4 linked regions of the Macaca mulatta genome follow. The protein of the gene in region 1 interacts with the protein of each later gene in a pairwise test. Links are inferred from orthologs where the notes say so. Each region holds a gene or a part of one and is shown in the gene's direction. Other genes may lie near its edges. The genes, in order: KCTD6, CTNND1, EHHADH and GRB7.

Region 1 (4,071 bases):
ACTTGGGTATGTTGATGAAGCATATGTCATTTATTTAACCTATCAATTTGAGCTTTGGAGAAGAATCAAGTATCAGATACAACTGTGATGATCATGCTGATATAATTTCAACCCCAGAGCTAGCTCACACACATGCAGACGTGAAACCCAAGTAAGTTTCTAAGGCCAGTGGTTATTCTGGTGGAGAAGGTTAAACCCAGCATCAGGTAACCGGTCCCAACGGAAGGGGACAGAGGCCTGGCTAGTAGGAAGCGAATGGGACTTGGAACGAGTGGACGGATGGAGGCCAATTAGCCCTGAGGCGTTAGGAGCTGCCCATCCTCTGCAGTCTTGGCTTCCTTCCTGGTGAAGTGGGGACAATACCGGCGCCAGTCTCATCTAGGGCCGAGCTCCTCCAGGCCCCAGAGCCTTTGCACGGGTCGTTTCGTCTGCTGAAGGTGGCTCTGCCCTTCTCTCCACCTGGCTGCCCGTGTTGCTGAGGCTCTGGGCCCAGCTGTCCTTTGCTGTCCTGCCCACCAGGCCGGAGGGGTGGCCGCGGGGGCTTCTTCACAGGCCTCATCGCAGGGTTGTCTCCCCAGTGCAGGGCAGGCAGGAGAGGCTCCGACCGCAGGTCCGGGGTCCAGGTCTTCCTTGGCTACTGCGTTTGAAGCAGGGGCTCCCTTCCCTTCTCCATCTAAGTCCTCTAATCACGCCTCTCCCAACGCTTATGATCATAACCTGTCATTATTTTGTCTATTAGCTGTTTCCTTGACTCTTGTCTGTCTTCTCCTTTCATTAGGACCCGCTTGCGTCTTGGTAGCCGCTGTATCTCCTAAACCCCCAGGCCTGAGATATAGTGGGGGTCCCATACAAGTTCATGAAATGACTAAGGAGAAACAGCTGTGGAAACACCAGCTCTGAGGACGCAGTGGGCCTGGGGCTGGGCGGACCCCAGGCTGCGGACGGAGGCGGGACGCAGGGGCGGGGTTTCGGGGCTTCGGGGCTTCTGAGCTGAGCCTAAGGGGCGGGACTGGGGCTTCAGGGCGGGGCTTCGGGGCTGCGGTCTTGCGGTCTTGACCGCGCGGCTCCGGCTGCGCTCGCTCCTAAGGCCGCCCGGCTCTCTGGCTTCCCGCCCGCGCTGCCGTTAGGGGGCGCCCGCGCTTGTGGCGCTACGGCTCTGCTGGGAAGGCGCCGCCCGCGCCGGGCAGCTGGAGCCGCAACTCCGGGCGCGGGCTCAGTCGTCCCTTCTGCCGCCGCCGCCGCCGCCGCCGCCGGGCGCGGGCTCGCTCGTCCCCGCGCTCGCGCTCTCCGGCCGCGGGCATCTCCCGGCCCGGCCGCCGCCGCTGCCGCCGCCGCCGCCGCCGCCGCGCAGTGAGTGGGGCTGGCTTGGGGCTTGCGGGGCCGGGGCTTGGGAGGGCCGGGGCTTGGGAGGGCCGGGTTTCGGGAGACGTCTGCGCGGAGCGGCCAGGGGAGCGGGGCAGAGGATTATCTGGGCGGGGGCTCCTGGAACCGGGCGGTGGCGGCGGGGCCGCGTTGAGGGGACCGCGCGTCCCGGGGCTGGCACGAGCCGGCGGCGGAGGTGCCCGCGGCGGGGCCTGGGCGGGGGTTCTGGGGTCCGCCCGCGGGGATGCGCGGTTTCTGCGGGCCCGGGTTCGGAGCTCCGCGGAGCGCCCCTCGTCCGGGCCCGGAGCATCGCCCGCCCTACCCCTGGCCGGGTCGGGTTTGTGGGGGTTTCGCTGGTGGGGCAGCAGCGAAGCACGGCCCGGACGGAGACATTCGGGGTGTGCTCGAAAATGATTGTTTTTGGGAGATTGCGCTTATTAGCCACCAATTGCCCTAGTTTAAAGCGTGAGCCAGGACTCAAAACCCTGGCTTTGGGATTTTCTACCCTGAAGAGACACTCAGATTGCAGCTGAGTTCTTTATGCCTAGATTTGTGTGTGTGGTGGCGTTTTTAATGCTTGATGTCAGAGGTGATAAATGGCTGTGGTAATGGGGAGCCCTGGCAGCACCTGCTGGGCTGTCAGTGGTGGAGGCTGTGTCTGGGGGTGGGACGGGGAAATGAAACGTGACAGAGATCCTGTTTGGATATTCTGCTGAAGTTATCATGTTTCTGTTCAAGTATACCAGTTCTAGAACAAGTTGATGGATCCAATTTTAGGACTTTGTGATAGAAGAGGTTTGGGTGGCAAAGTGACCTGGGATGACCCGGCTCGGCTAAGAATATTTGGGGTAGCCTAAGCATCTCTTCCATATCCCCCTGGCATGTTCTTTTTTTCGCTGTCACAAATGCCCTATTACTTGAATCATCCTGGGATAGGAGAGAAGCTTGGGGACAGCATGTAGCACAGTCCTGAGCCCAAGATTGAGATGTTTTCAAATGAATAAATATGTAGCTAGGAAAAGGAAAATGGTTTTGTCAGCAGGGTTGGTAGGTTGAGAGAATTTTCTCTTTGGCCGAAAACCATCAGTCCATAAAGATACTTGATTTTGTGCTATGCTTTAGATATGAACGATGGAGTGGAGTGGTCAGGACAGCCACGGATGCCATCCCAAAGTTTTGTGATTTGAATTTTCATAAATCATATTTTAACCAAAGCATTACTACTTACAGAAATCTTAGGGTGAACCCTATGAATCCTTCGGTGCGTTTGGATTTTGATATTTGGGGTCCATTTAAAATGGAGTACATGTATGTATTTGGATTCAGCTTTACCTTGGAGATAATCCTGAGTCATGCTTTAAGGAAGTTCCTTCTGAGATCAGGAGCTCAGATGTTGGGTGATCTCTGGGAAAACTAGACACTCCCCTTTACCTGTATGTAGTTCTCCCTTCTGGAGCTGTGGGAAAAAGAGGACCCGGGGAGATTTAGAGCAAATTAAGAGGCTGCCTCCTCCATATTTGCCGTCTCCAGGCCAATGCTCTAAATTACTTTGTTCACACTCAAGTTTTTCATGTTAACATAGAAATTTTGTTTATGCTGCTGCCACTAGTGTTTTCACGTTTGTCTAATACTTGCCAGTTTACAGATGGTTTTATATTCATGATCTCCTTTATTTTCTCCATTTCCCCAAAGAAGAAGCTGAGCATAAAGAGTCATTTTCTCAGGGTCTCATAATCAGTAATGGAGCAAAATTCGACTACAGGACCTCCCTGGGAACCTGTTCTCTTTCCTTGTCCTGTGATGTGTTACTCTTATAGGCCAATTTTTGCTTTTGTGTAGTGCCTAAATGGTGTAATTACTTTTGGGAAGATGGTATTAGCCCATCTTACCTTTCGGAAACTGAGGGTTAAGAGGAGTGTTACGATTTTGTGACAGCTTTTTAATATTAGGTCACTTTTAAACCTGTAACTCCTCTCTTCTTGACCACATGGTTGAGAGAGGAGAAAGAGAAAATGATTACTTTTAGAGAAAAATCCATTTCTGCAGTGGTATGGTTAAGGATAATGTAACACCATAATCACATTATCCTTGTATGCCTGGCTACTTGTGCTGGCCTGTATGTGAATGTTAACCCCAAAGGCTCCTTTAGATGTCGCTGAACTAGTTACTATAAAAAGTATTTCACTTTCAAACTCCCACATTTCAAGAAGAGCAAAACTCAGTAAAAAGGCAATTTTGAAGGTAAGTATAGAGAGAGGGAGTTTATTGAGTCTTTTCTGACTACCAGACACGAAGGTTTCATTAAAAACGCATTTTAAAGGGCTGCCTGGAAACTCTGGGAAGTCAGTAGTTGGAAGTTTTTATTTTTCATTGAAGTTCGGAGGTTTTTATTGCAACATATAGGTAGTTATACAGGATTAGGACTTTTGCCCTGGAGAATTCTTAATCTATAGCAAGAATGATAAACCCAGAATATTGTTAGGTTGGTTCATCGTAACCATGAGGCCTGAAATTGCAATTCTGCAGTGACAGGGAGAATGGCATTTAAGGGTTCTTAGGTTACTTTTTTAAGTTATTAACTTACTGAATTATGTATTCTTCAGATATACTACTTTAGAAAATTAATATTTTCTTTTAAGGCTTCTGTAAATTCTTCAGTATGTGTTTTCTTAAGCTTAATTACCTGCTAACATGACACTGTCAGAATTT
Region 2 (3,563 bases), on another chromosome or scaffold:
CAGCCAGATTCAAGTTCTTTAAGTTGGGACTATCAGACTTCAGTGCCTTTCTGGAGCATTTGGCAAGCTCAGTTCCCAACAGTGGTGCCTAATTACACCCATCTGCTTGATATATATTGTACAGTAGAGGGGAATGTCATATTTCTGCGTACAATTTTTTTTTTTTTTAATCAGATAACAACTATTCCACACCAAATGAGAGAGGAGACCACAATAGAACACTGGATCGATCGGGGGATCTAGGCGACATGGAGCCATTGAAGGGAACAACACCCTTGATGGTAAATTCTTTTTATATACTGCTATCTGTCTAAGGCTAGTTCTATTTTGAATCCTATGTGTTTTGTGAAATACAAAAAAAAGTACAGAGAAAGATCGCATCCTTTTCTGGTAGGGGTTTTTAGGAAAAAGTAAGGGTTTTGACTCGTGTTGGGATTTCATGGGCCGTTATTCTGCAGTGGTCAAAATGGGGGAAGCATGTCTGTAAAAGTGTTACTGATATGACTAACACTAACTGATCTATTTTCAAACATTACCTTTTTCCTCTTCCTCCCTGTTTATGAATGTTTTGCCCTTCTCTTACTATTATATCTTGTTTTGTTTGAGTTTACAAATTTTCAGAGTTTCCCCAGGTCTGGCACACACATGAGGTTCCTGTCTCTACTCATACTAACAAATTGCATGTGTTCACAGCAGGACGAGGGGCAGGAATCTCTGGAGGAAGAGTTGGATGTGTTGGTTTTGGATGATGAGGGGGGCCAAGTGTCTTACCCCTCCATGGTATGTCCTTCAGTCACCCCCAAGATTGTCCTTGAGGAAGGAGGCTCCTGTGTGCCAGCAATTTGTCAATCACGCTGATCTGATCAGGCCAGAGGCTAACTAGTCTCAGCCACATGGGGCTCGAGGGGTTCTGCTTTTGTGATTATTACCTCTTAAGAGTCTGGGACATGCAGCTGGTAATCTGATTCTCCATTATGTGCTGCTTTCCTGTTTCCAGATTTGTTCAGCTTTTTTTGAGGGGGGGGGTCTCCTTAATCCCAACCCCGCTAACATCCTCTCTTTCTCTTTTTTCTCCACAGCAGAAGATTTAGCACCACTGTCTCCATTCCATCTGGGCTTATATGTACTTTTATTTTTTGGTGGTGAAATTGACTGATGATTTTCCTTTTTCTTCGCTGGACTATTGTGCCAACTGCCAGGCTGCCTCCTGCCCTTACAGCCCTACGTGGCTGCCTTCTTTCCATCAATTCCCAACTTCTTCCGGTGAAGTTTAATTGTCTCAACGCTTCCCCCTCCCCCATTCTCTCCATTTTCTCCCAAGAAGCCTGACTCAGTTATTTGCATATTTTGAGAAACTGCTGCAGATTAGTTCTTTTTGCCAGTTCTCCCTGGAACTCTTGGCCTTTTGTGGAGGGAGGGATGGAGAGAATAGCAATCTTCACTGGAAGCCGTGGGAAGAATTGGAAGTTACATGCTGTATATGCAATGTCCAGCAGTCTGATAAACTGATGATTCTTAATCAAGATTTTTTTCCTGGTGGGGAAGGGACTTTTATTTTCTTTTAGAGAGGGGAAAGTGTGAACTCTTCCCTTATTCCTGATGGCTATTTTTGAAGCAAAGAAGGCCGGCAACATTGGCACATGCCACCTGGCAAAGGACCCTTGAGTAAGTGAAGGTCTCCTAGAACTGGGATTAAGAAACCTTGCTCTCCTCATCTCCAAGGCAGGGACCATCAAGAACCTACAGACTCCATCTCTTCTGCAAGCCTCATGCCAACCCTGGGCTATTGCTGCTGCCCCTTAAACAGAGGCTGTCCTTAACCCACTTCTCCCGCCCTGTGATATGTCTGCTGAGTTGGCCTGGCCATTTCCAAGAGGCTATAGAAAGGGGAGAATGTCAAGGAAGACTTTTGGTTGAGAAGGAGCAGAAAGATGTGTTTTTGGGAAGAAGAAGACCTCTAGGAGGAGCTAGTAGGAATGTACATGAAACGATTAGTCTGAAACTGGCTTCCCCACTCCCCTGTTTCTCCTTTTCCTATCCTTATAGGCCTGTCCCTTGCCTCTGCCCTGGATTGGTTGGCAAACTAAAGGACTTGATGTACATAACTCCTGTCCCTTTTACCCTTACAAGGTGGGGATTGCCCCTGGCTTTGCCTCTTCTTTGTGCCTTTGGCCTGGGGTGCATCTCCTCCCGCCCTTCCATGTGCCTTTCTTTGCCTCTGCAGTCTCATTTCTCATAATTTTGCAAATTATATTTTGTTGCTTTCTTACCTACTATTGGCCCTAAATAGCAGAAAGAAGAGAAGTGACCTAGAGAACCTCAGATTCTTCACTGAGGATTGGTATAGCCATGATTTCAGTCATAGCAAGCTTTTGCTCAACAGCATGTGGGTGGGATTTTGCCAAAATTCTATTCTGATGAATCTCAAAGTAAGGTTGGTAAGGGAGGTGAGTGGTGTGACTCTTACTCCTTAGGTGCCCAGAATTTACCATCATCTCTGAAGGAGTTACAGGGAAGTGGTCTCCCCAATTGTCCCCTCCCTCCAGTATTGCCTCCTCTCACTTTAGCATGTATTAATTAGCAGGTTGGGCTAGAGAAATCAGCTGCTATGCGGGTTGATTATTATTATTATTTTTAATCCTTTTCCTTATTTGCCTTCTACTCCCCTTAATCTAATCTAAAAGCTCTGTTCCATGCAACTTTATCCCTCTCTTCCCCTTCCCTTATATATTGAGGCTATGGGGTAGGAGAAAAGTGCACAACCCACCACCCCCTTTACTCGTGCATTAAAATTTCTCATTTACCCTTTCCCCGCTTTCCATTTCTTCCCACTTTCATCTACCTTTTCTGGCAAAAAGGAGCCTTTTGCTCTCTGTGACCCCTAAGAGCATACTGCACAGGGGAAATTGCCCCATCCAGACCTGGCTCCACTCTTGATTTCTTTTGTCCTCTTCTGCTCTTTTCCTGGTGCTCTTTTTTCTCGGTGGGGTGTGGGTAATAGAACAGCCATGGGCTTTTGGGGACCTTTAACTTTTTTTTCCCTCTTTTGTTTATAAAAACACTAAACATTCAATTCCAGAGAACCAAAAATCCCACCTTCCCACCGAACACTACTAAGGGGCCTGTGTTCTGCTCCATACCTTTTCTCTTTTCTTTCTGTCTTGTTAATGCTTTTAAAAACAAATGAGTTTTTTATATAAATAAAGTTTTTAAAGTGTGTATGTGGGGGGTCTGTGTCATTTCTTCACTTCAAGCTGTTATTTCTTCCCTGCTTTTCATCTTTGTTACTTCCTTATGTATCAGTGTCCTTTCCAGAGCAACCAGAAGGAGGTTATACCAGGATTTATTTTGAGCTCAGCCCCAAGTCTTATTAAGCAACATTCTTGTTAACTATATGTGAAACATTTTTTTCTTCTGAAGATTCTTAAAAATTGAATGTGGCTGACGTTGAACATGGGAGCTTATTGCTAACTTAAGAGATAGGAAACTGAAGCATAAAGAATTAATGACTTTAATTACTGGGATTCTTTTGCAACATTTGACAAAACTAACATTGAATAAGG
Region 3 (3,563 bases), about 25 Mb from region 1:
AATTTTTTTATTATATAATGGTTCTGAATTTGCTTTTTGTGATCAGATTTGGCTTCTAATTAACCAGCTGAAGGCAAGAGGGTTTGTCTGGTTTCATCTAGGTTAAGAGGTGAAAAGTAATTAGGTGAAAGGGAACCATTATATACAAGGGCAAGTATCCTTTTTATTGCTTGGGTTTTTAGCTCATAGTTATTGGTCTTAACAATTTGGCCTTTACAGAAGTTTGTTATTGTTTGTTTTGTTTTAAAATTTATTTTTAACCCTGTATACTAAAGAACAGAGATTTTACCCAGAATACTTGGAATTCCAAGGCAAAACTGATTGGAATCTGGTTCTGTGATTTTTCTTTTAAGCAGTTCCTCACCACTTGCCCTAGATTCTCTTCGGTTGCTTGGTACTTATTAATCCCCTCCTTCTTCACAAATTTTCTCTCTTGGTCTTTGTGACTTTGGGCTCACTTGCTGAATCACGCTGCTGAGCTTCTCCCACTTCTTAAATGAAGATATATCCAGAGGATCTGCCCTCAGCTCTCTTTTCCATTGGTAGACTCATTCAGTCTTGGTTTTAGCTATCTCTTTTGTGGATTACTTCCTCATATACTAAAACTTGGCAAAATCTGCTACATGCCCTATCTTTCCACGATCTTGCTTTTATCTCTTATCTGAGATTATGCTTGGCTGTCACTGACAGAATACTCAAGATAATAGTAAATTAGACAATAAAAAGCTAATTTCTCTCGCGGCAGTGTCCTGGAATGATACAGCTGCTCCACAATCAACAAGGGCCTCAATTATTTATTCTGTCTATCTCTTGCTCTACCATCCTCAATACATAGCTTCTGTCTCCTGATCCAAGCTGGCTGCTCCTGATCTAACCATCATTGGTGCCAGGAGTAGGGAGGAAAGAAAAAGGGAAAAGCATACCCAAATCTTTCAGAACTCTTCCCAAAAGTTGCACATACCAAATATGCTTCCATCCCATTGGCTAGAACTTAGTTCCTTGTGCAGACCTTACTGTAAAGCAGGCTGGAAAATGTAGTCTTTATTTTGGGCAACCGTATTTTTGTATTAGTCCATTTTCATTTTCAGATTGCTATAAAGACATACCCAAGATTGGGTAATTTATAAAGGAGGGAGGTTTAATTGACTGCCAGTTCCACATGGCTGGGGAAGCCTGGGGAAACTTACAATCATGGCGGAAGGCAAAGGAGAAGCAAGTACCTTCTTCACAAGGTGGCAGGAGAGAGGCGTGAGTGCAGGGGAGACTGCCACTTATAAACCACTAGATCTCCTGAGAATTCCCTCACAGAACAACAGCATGGGGCAAACCATTGGTATGATCCAGTCACCTCCCGCCAGATCTTTCCCTGATATGTGGGGATTGCAATTCAAAATGAAGTTTTGGTGGGGATTAAGAGCCAAAACCATATCACATATATTCAAGTAAAAACCAGGTGTTTTAATACTATGAAGAAGACGGAGAGGAATGGATATTTGAGGTAACTCACAGCCCCTGCCACAGCTCCTAGACTGTTTCTCATTTAATTTTCTTATATTTTACCAATATGAAAAATTGAAAGTCATTTCACCCTTCTCGATTTCAACATCACTTTTTCTTTGTACCTTTTTTACAGCACTCATCTTAGTGCACCTTACATGATAAATTATGTACAAGTATTGGATAACTCCTTGTACAGTATATGGAAGCCATGTAATAATATTTTTAAATTGGTTGGTGCCAATTTTAAGTGGTCAAAGTGAAAGCACAGGGCAGGAAAATTACAGTTTTAAAAAGTGGATTAATTTAATCTGTTCAGTGCTTAATTAATCATAGGCACATATATTATTTGTAGAACAAATATAATAGTCATAGTAGACACATATATTATTTGTTGGAAGCTTTATTGAGAAGTATCTGTAGTTCTTATCCATTATGTGTGTGTTTAATTTTTCATTGTTAGGAAAGGAAAACACTCTGAATGGTAGGAATTTAATTCTGACTAATTTAGTTAGTGTATTTTGTTTTCTTTTAGTACGGCCGTACTCCGTGATGTAAAAGAAGGACTACAGAAAGCTGTAATAGACCATACAATAAAAGCCATTGTGATTTGTGGAGCAGAGGGCAAATTTTCTGCAGGTAACTTAAGTCTAACCCTTTCCCACTATCTCTGGAAGCCAACCACAGACTGAGACCAATACTACATTAGCTGTGCTTGTGAGTAATAACTTAGTGTAGGTAATGGAAATGACAGACTTGAGTGAGAATGAGAAACATTGTGGAGAAAGGGACTGGAATTACAAGAGAGACCCAGAGAAGACTTTGGGCTTAGTCTCTTTTATAGTGGATTGGGGTTTTAGAGTATATTTAGTTCCAGACTTGATGGCTGTTACACACTTACTGATATATACCTGCATTGCATGTATCTCCACCACATATGGGCTTGGGCAAATCTCTTTAACCTCCTGAACCTCAATTTCTCTATCTATAAAGTAGGAACAATAATATCTATTTTAAGGGGTTTTTGTGACATTAAATGAGATAACATATCTGGAAGCCTCTACTACAGTACCTATACACAGAAGATGGTCAATAAACGTTACTGTTTAATTCACACAGAGTCTTATAATAGAATTCATTTTTCTTCTGGTAGTCACCCATCTCAGTGACAATGGCACTGTTTTATTGGGTTATTGTGTGAAGATGCAAAATTCTTGACAAAATATGGCAAAAGTATTTTGAAATGGTGATTTATTCAATGGTATATATGGCATCTTTTCCTTAATGAATACATTATACCCTTTAACAAAAGTCACATGGATATGGGGGCCTATTCAACCTTACTGTAGCCAGAGAAATTTAATGTGTGTTAATGGTAGCCTGAAAAGACACAGATGTTAGAATCATGGCAATAAATAAATATAAAAATGTGAATCATTATAATATTACCATTTATCTTGCCTGTTATGTGCTAGTACCATGTAGGTTATTTATTAATAATAATAAAAGTAATAGTATTTTTAAACACATTCTATTTTAATTCTCAGTTAGTCCTACAATCCTCATTTACAGGTAAGAAGATATTTTGAGCCTGGAAGAGATTAATATAATGTCCCAAACCTTAACCAGTTATTAAATAGCTTACTCACTGTTTGGAAACTTAAGGTTTGGCACCCAAGATGATGACAATGATGCATGGAAAGAGTGATCAGAATGATAAAGAACTTGATATTTCTTTGTAAGAAAGAAGGTAGATGAGAGAATGCAATTAGAGTTCGGAGGCAGAAAAAATTATTCTTCTAAAAAAGTATTAGGGATTATGAAACTTGGCTTAATGCATGTACATAGAACAATGCACCCCAAAATGGGAGAATATAGATTCTTCTGAAATACATCTGGAACATTTACAAAAATTGACTAGATACTGAATTATAAAATCTTATTTAAATAAATTTCATTAAGAATATATTATCTGACAATAATGCAATTAAGCTAGAAATCAATAACAAAATATAACTAGTAATTCTCATATGTTTGGAAGTTAATTTCCAATATCCTCTGAGTAA
Region 4 (4,099 bases), on another chromosome or scaffold:
ATGTCAGCCACCTTCTCCTCTGCTCAGCTGTCACCTCCACAGAGAAGTCTTTCCTGACTCCCTATGTGAGTCATTCTCCCAGCATAGTTGTCTCCTGTCATTTCTTATTTGTGTGATTCTTTGATTAACATCAATCTTCCTGATTGGCTGTGTGAGGATAGGGCGGGGTCTGTTTTTGTTGCTTACCCCAGTATGCCCAGCACCAAACATGGGGCTGGCATATGGTAGGTACTGAACAGAGAGTTGAATAAATTAATGAGTGAATTGTCTACTCTGCCTTTGCACAAGCTGCTCCATCACCCAAGAGACCTTGCCTCCTCCCCCACTTCTTTGCTGGGCACATTCATACCGGTTTTCCTAGGAAAACTCTGGAGAAAATTGAGGCAGGAGTCACTCCTCTGTGCCCCCCCCATGGTGGACCTCTTATCACCCTAAGGATTGTTTGTTTTCCTGTCACCCGCATCAAGCTGGGTGGTGGCCACAGCCTTTGATTTCTGCCTCCCAACCCTTCTCCCAAGTACCCTGTTTGCCCAGTGCTGAACTAGAGAGCTAAAGTGATCCCTGAGAGAACTAAATCGATCCCTCAGGCCGGGTGCGGTGGCACACACCTGTAATCCTAACACTTTGGGAGGCCGAGGTGGGCAGATTACACGAGGTCAGGAGTTCGAGACCAACGTGGCCAACGTGGAGAAACCCCGATTTACTAAAAATACAAAAATTAGCTGGGTGTGTGGCCTGTAATCCCAGCTACTCGGGAGGCCGAGGCAGGAGAATCTTTTGAACCCAGGAGGCGGAGTTTGCAGTAAGCCGAGATGGCGCCACTGCACTCCAGCTTGGGTGACAGAGCAGGACTCTGTCTCAAAAAAATAAAGTGATCCCTCTAAGAGGAATCTCCAGGGGCCCAGGCCAGAGCTTTCTCTGGGTCACCATGGCTTCTCCCACTGTGCCACCCAGCCTAAGCCCCTCGATTTTAAAGGGGAAGCCAAGACTCTGGACTTTGCTCAGAAGGTGGGGGGCGGGAGAGGGGCTTACCCTGGGTGCCTCTGAGGGGCCAGGGCACAGCCACCATGGTATGGGTGCCTGCAGATCGACGGGCAGGCCATGTTGCTGGACACCCCCGTGGCTGGCGTCCCTCCTTGGCAGGGTGCTCTTTGCCCCATGGGGTGGGATCCAGAGCTGCAGAAGTGCCCCCTGGCTTGGCCAATGAACAGACCAGGTTCAGGGAGGATGTTTGGGAGGAGTGGACCGGTGGTTCCCTTTACCTTGCAGCCCTCAGACCCTCCCCCCGCCCTCCCAGGTGGTCGGGACTCTTGATCTTCGCTGTTGGTGCTGTCTGTTCGGCTGTCTTCCCCGCCTCTTCCTAGGCACCTGCACCCTCTCTTGGCACCTGCTGCCAGGCTAGGAAGGGCAAAAACAATCCCAGTTGGCGTAGAGTGTCAGGGAGTCCCCACCCTCCTCCCAGGCTTCCTCCTCCCAGGCGCCTCCCCTGGACACGCCCCCATCTGCCCAAGATAATTTTAGTTTCCTTGGGCCTGGAATCTGGACACACAGGGCTCCCCCGGCCCTGACTTCTCTGTCCGAAGTCGGGACACCCTCCTACCACCTGTAGAGAAGCGGGAGTGGATCTGAAATAAAATCCAGGAATCTGGGGTTTCCTAGACGGAGCCAGACTTCGGAACGGGTGTCCTGCTACTCCTGCTGGGGCTCCTCCAGGTAAGGGGACAGAGATCGGTCTCAGACAACAGCCTGCCAGGCAACCCCCAGCCGCACCAGGGCCCCAGGCTGTGCCCGTCTCCGGCCGAACTGGCCGTCGGCCCAGGTGGGCGGATTGGAGCCACCTGGCTCTCCCCCTCCCCCGCTCGGTGATGTCAGGCCCGGGGCGGGGGCTGGAGGGGGACAGGTACTTAAGGGCCTGGCGTCTCCCTCCCTGAAGACGTGGTCCCAGCCGGGTGTCCTGATGTTCGGGGTTCAGGTAAGAACCCAAGCGGGCATTCATCCTTTGGGGGCAGGCACGGCCGGTCTGGGGGCCGGTAGGGAAAGGCTGGGTCTCCTGCTGGGTTGCTCGGCCTCCCACTTTTCTCTTTTCCTCCCATCTCCCACCCCGCCCCCTCCTCCCCACCCGCCCTCTTTCGTCCCCATCCTGGTTTCCAGCCCTCCTTGTTCCCTCCCGGTACACCTCCCCGAAGCCAGCAGCGAGAATGGGAAGGAAGACCTGATTCTCTCCTCCGACTTGGCTTTCCCGCTGAAACTGGCCCCTCCCCGCACACCCTGGGAGAGCCGCCCTCACTCCCTGGCTCGCCCAGTTTACCCCAGTTTGGGTTTCCCCAAGTCTCTAAGACAGACGTCTCCGCGGGCTGCGGGGAGATGTGGGGAGGGCCCCCTCCACTTTGGAGGACGGTGAAGGAGAGGGATCCTCTAAATTGTTGAGGCTCCATCTCTCCAGACTGTATGCCCTGCTCAGCAACATCGCCTCCGGCCCTCGGGTGGGAAAGTGGAGGCCGGGTGAGCCGGGGTCCCTCCTGGCTTCAGCATGAAGTGGCCAGGAAGGCTAGAGGGGTGGGTGAGGGGCTCTGCAGTGCGGTGGGGCCTGGGGAGAGTGGGGTAGGGGATGGCAGATGGTTTCCTCTGCTTGATGAGGCTAAGGAGAGACCCAGGTACCCGGTCTGGGTCTCCCTGGCAGATTGAGGACAGAGAATGCACCTGCCGGCAAGGTGGAACCCCCCCTCGCCGCCCCGCTCCAGCCTCACTGCCCACCAGGAATGCTCCCTTTTGGTCCGCCGGTCTTGGACTCTGCTCTCTCCTGATATCCTGCTGTGTGCGGGGTGGGGGGACCTCATGGAAGCAGGCAGCCTGTAATGATTAACCGCACAGACACTCCAGCATTCTTCCCGAATTAAACTTTAAAAGAGCTGCCCCGCCTTCTCTCATTGGGTATTTTTCCTGAGTGAGAGTGGGCGGGGCCTCAGAGTCCTGGGTCCTCCCTTCTACTAGGAGTCATCCAGGGGTTTCTCACCTTCTCACCTGGGCCCTGCACCCTAAAAGGTTATAAGCCTGTCCCGTGGGGGCGGGGCGTGGAGTACTGGGCGGACAGGGACGCTCCCGCCACATCCAGGCCCCTGGCCCAGGCCTCAGTCCCGCAAGCCCTTCCCCCTACTCTGGGAAGTAGAGTTGTTTTCTGTTGGCCCTGAACACCGGGCCCCGCCACCCGCCCTTAGGGCCAGCCAGGTGGGGCGTGATTCAGGAAGTAAACAAGGAGGTTGGGAGGACGGGAACGCGGGTGGGGCTGGAGCCACTGGGGGAGGAGGCAGCTGGGAAGACACCGCCGGAGTTACCTCGTTGAGGGGACAAACTGATTTTGGGGGTCGGTTTTTCCAACCGAAACTTTCCCGGTGCCTCAGTTTCAAAACTCCAGATCTCTAAGCTGCCAGGCCTACAGCCAGGAGCCCTTCCCCTCCCTGCTCGCCTCTTTGGTCTTGAGGATTCCACCCGCCTCCAGCCTTAGAAGGGGCTGAAGGGCCCGGGTGGGGGGATCTGAAGGCAAACCCCAGCCTTAGGCTGGCCCTCTCTGATCTCTGAGGCCAGGCTGTAATGTGATTCAAATCCACTTCTAACCCCTTCCAATCGCTGCCCTCCTGAATTCTCTGCTCCTCTCCCCATCCCACTGTTGGCCCCCTGCAACCTGGAATGAAGTCACCAGGGCTGTTTGGAGACCGGGGCTGTTTGGAGGGTAGACTGGGGTGGGAGTGGGGGATCGTGTTCTGATATTGAGGTGCTGGTGTCTCTTGCTAGCGGGTGGCGGGTATATCTTGCCCCTCCTGGCCAGACCCTGGGCCCCCTCCCTGGCCCTTCATCCTGTCTGTCTTTTTGAGTGTTTTCCCTTTCTGCTCCTGCTCCTGTGGTACCCCTCTGGCCAGGACACCCAGGAGAATGTGTCGGGAGGAACCTCATCCACACGGGGCGGGGGCTCTGAGCGATGCTTTGGGTGGGGAGGGGCACCGCTGGGACACTGGCTTCTCTCCAAATGGGCCTCTGAATCCAGGCCGGGCATTGCCTCTCTCTTTCCCAGGTGAGGGACTCCCTGGCAAGGCGGTGGTTTGGC

What was found.
Region 2: the proteins of KCTD6 (region 1) and CTNND1 interact in binary tests that used the Homo sapiens proteins (3 or more experiments, as listed by UniProt). The two-hybrid records come from large-scale screens. The link is inferred for Macaca mulatta from reciprocal best matches to the Homo sapiens genes KCTD6 and CTNND1.
Region 3: the proteins of KCTD6 (region 1) and EHHADH interact in binary tests that used the Homo sapiens proteins (3 or more experiments, as listed by UniProt). The two-hybrid records come from large-scale screens. The link is inferred for Macaca mulatta from reciprocal best matches to the Homo sapiens genes KCTD6 and EHHADH.
Region 4: the proteins of KCTD6 (region 1) and GRB7 interact in binary tests that used the Homo sapiens proteins (3 or more experiments, as listed by UniProt). The two-hybrid records come from large-scale screens. The link is inferred for Macaca mulatta from reciprocal best matches to the Homo sapiens genes KCTD6 and GRB7.

Annotation. Positions count from the first base shown.
Region 1 is NC_133407.1:122,078,932-122,083,002, forward strand, and holds the start of KCTD6 (BTB/POZ domain-containing protein KCTD6), read left to right. Parts: upstream 1-1,264; 5' UTR 1,265-1,350; intron 1,351-1,536; exon of another isoform or gene 1,537-3,603; intron 3,604-4,071. UniProt on the Homo sapiens protein: Probable substrate-specific adapter of a BCR (BTB-CUL3-RBX1) E3 ubiquitin-protein ligase complex mediating the ubiquitination and subsequent proteasomal degradation of target proteins.
Region 2 is NC_133419.1:15,575,954-15,579,516, reverse strand, and holds part of CTNND1 (catenin delta-1), read left to right. Parts: intron 1-174; coding exon 175-281; intron 282-693; coding exon of another isoform or gene 694-780; intron 781-1,079; coding exon 1,080-1,091; 3' UTR 1,092-3,563. UniProt on the Homo sapiens protein: Key regulator of cell-cell adhesion that associates with and regulates the cell adhesion properties of both C-, E- and N-cadherins, being critical for their surface stability.
Region 3 is NC_133407.1:97,411,147-97,414,709, reverse strand, and holds part of EHHADH (peroxisomal bifunctional enzyme), read left to right. Parts: intron 1-2,032; coding exon 2,033-2,136; intron 2,137-3,563. UniProt on the Homo sapiens protein: Peroxisomal trifunctional enzyme possessing 2-enoyl-CoA hydratase, 3-hydroxyacyl-CoA dehydrogenase, and delta 3, delta 2-enoyl-CoA isomerase activities. Catalyzes two of the four reactions of the long chain fatty acids peroxisomal beta-oxidation pathway.
Region 4 is NC_133421.1:64,090,824-64,094,922, forward strand, and holds the start of GRB7 (growth factor receptor-bound protein 7), read left to right. Parts: upstream 1-1,282; 5' UTR 1,283-1,713; intron 1,714-1,931; exon of another isoform or gene 1,932-1,972; intron 1,973-2,151; exon of another isoform or gene 2,152-2,502; intron 2,503-4,099. UniProt on the Homo sapiens protein: Adapter protein that interacts with the cytoplasmic domain of numerous receptor kinases and modulates down-stream signaling. Promotes activation of down-stream protein kinases, including STAT3, AKT1, MAPK1 and/or MAPK3. Promotes activation of HRAS.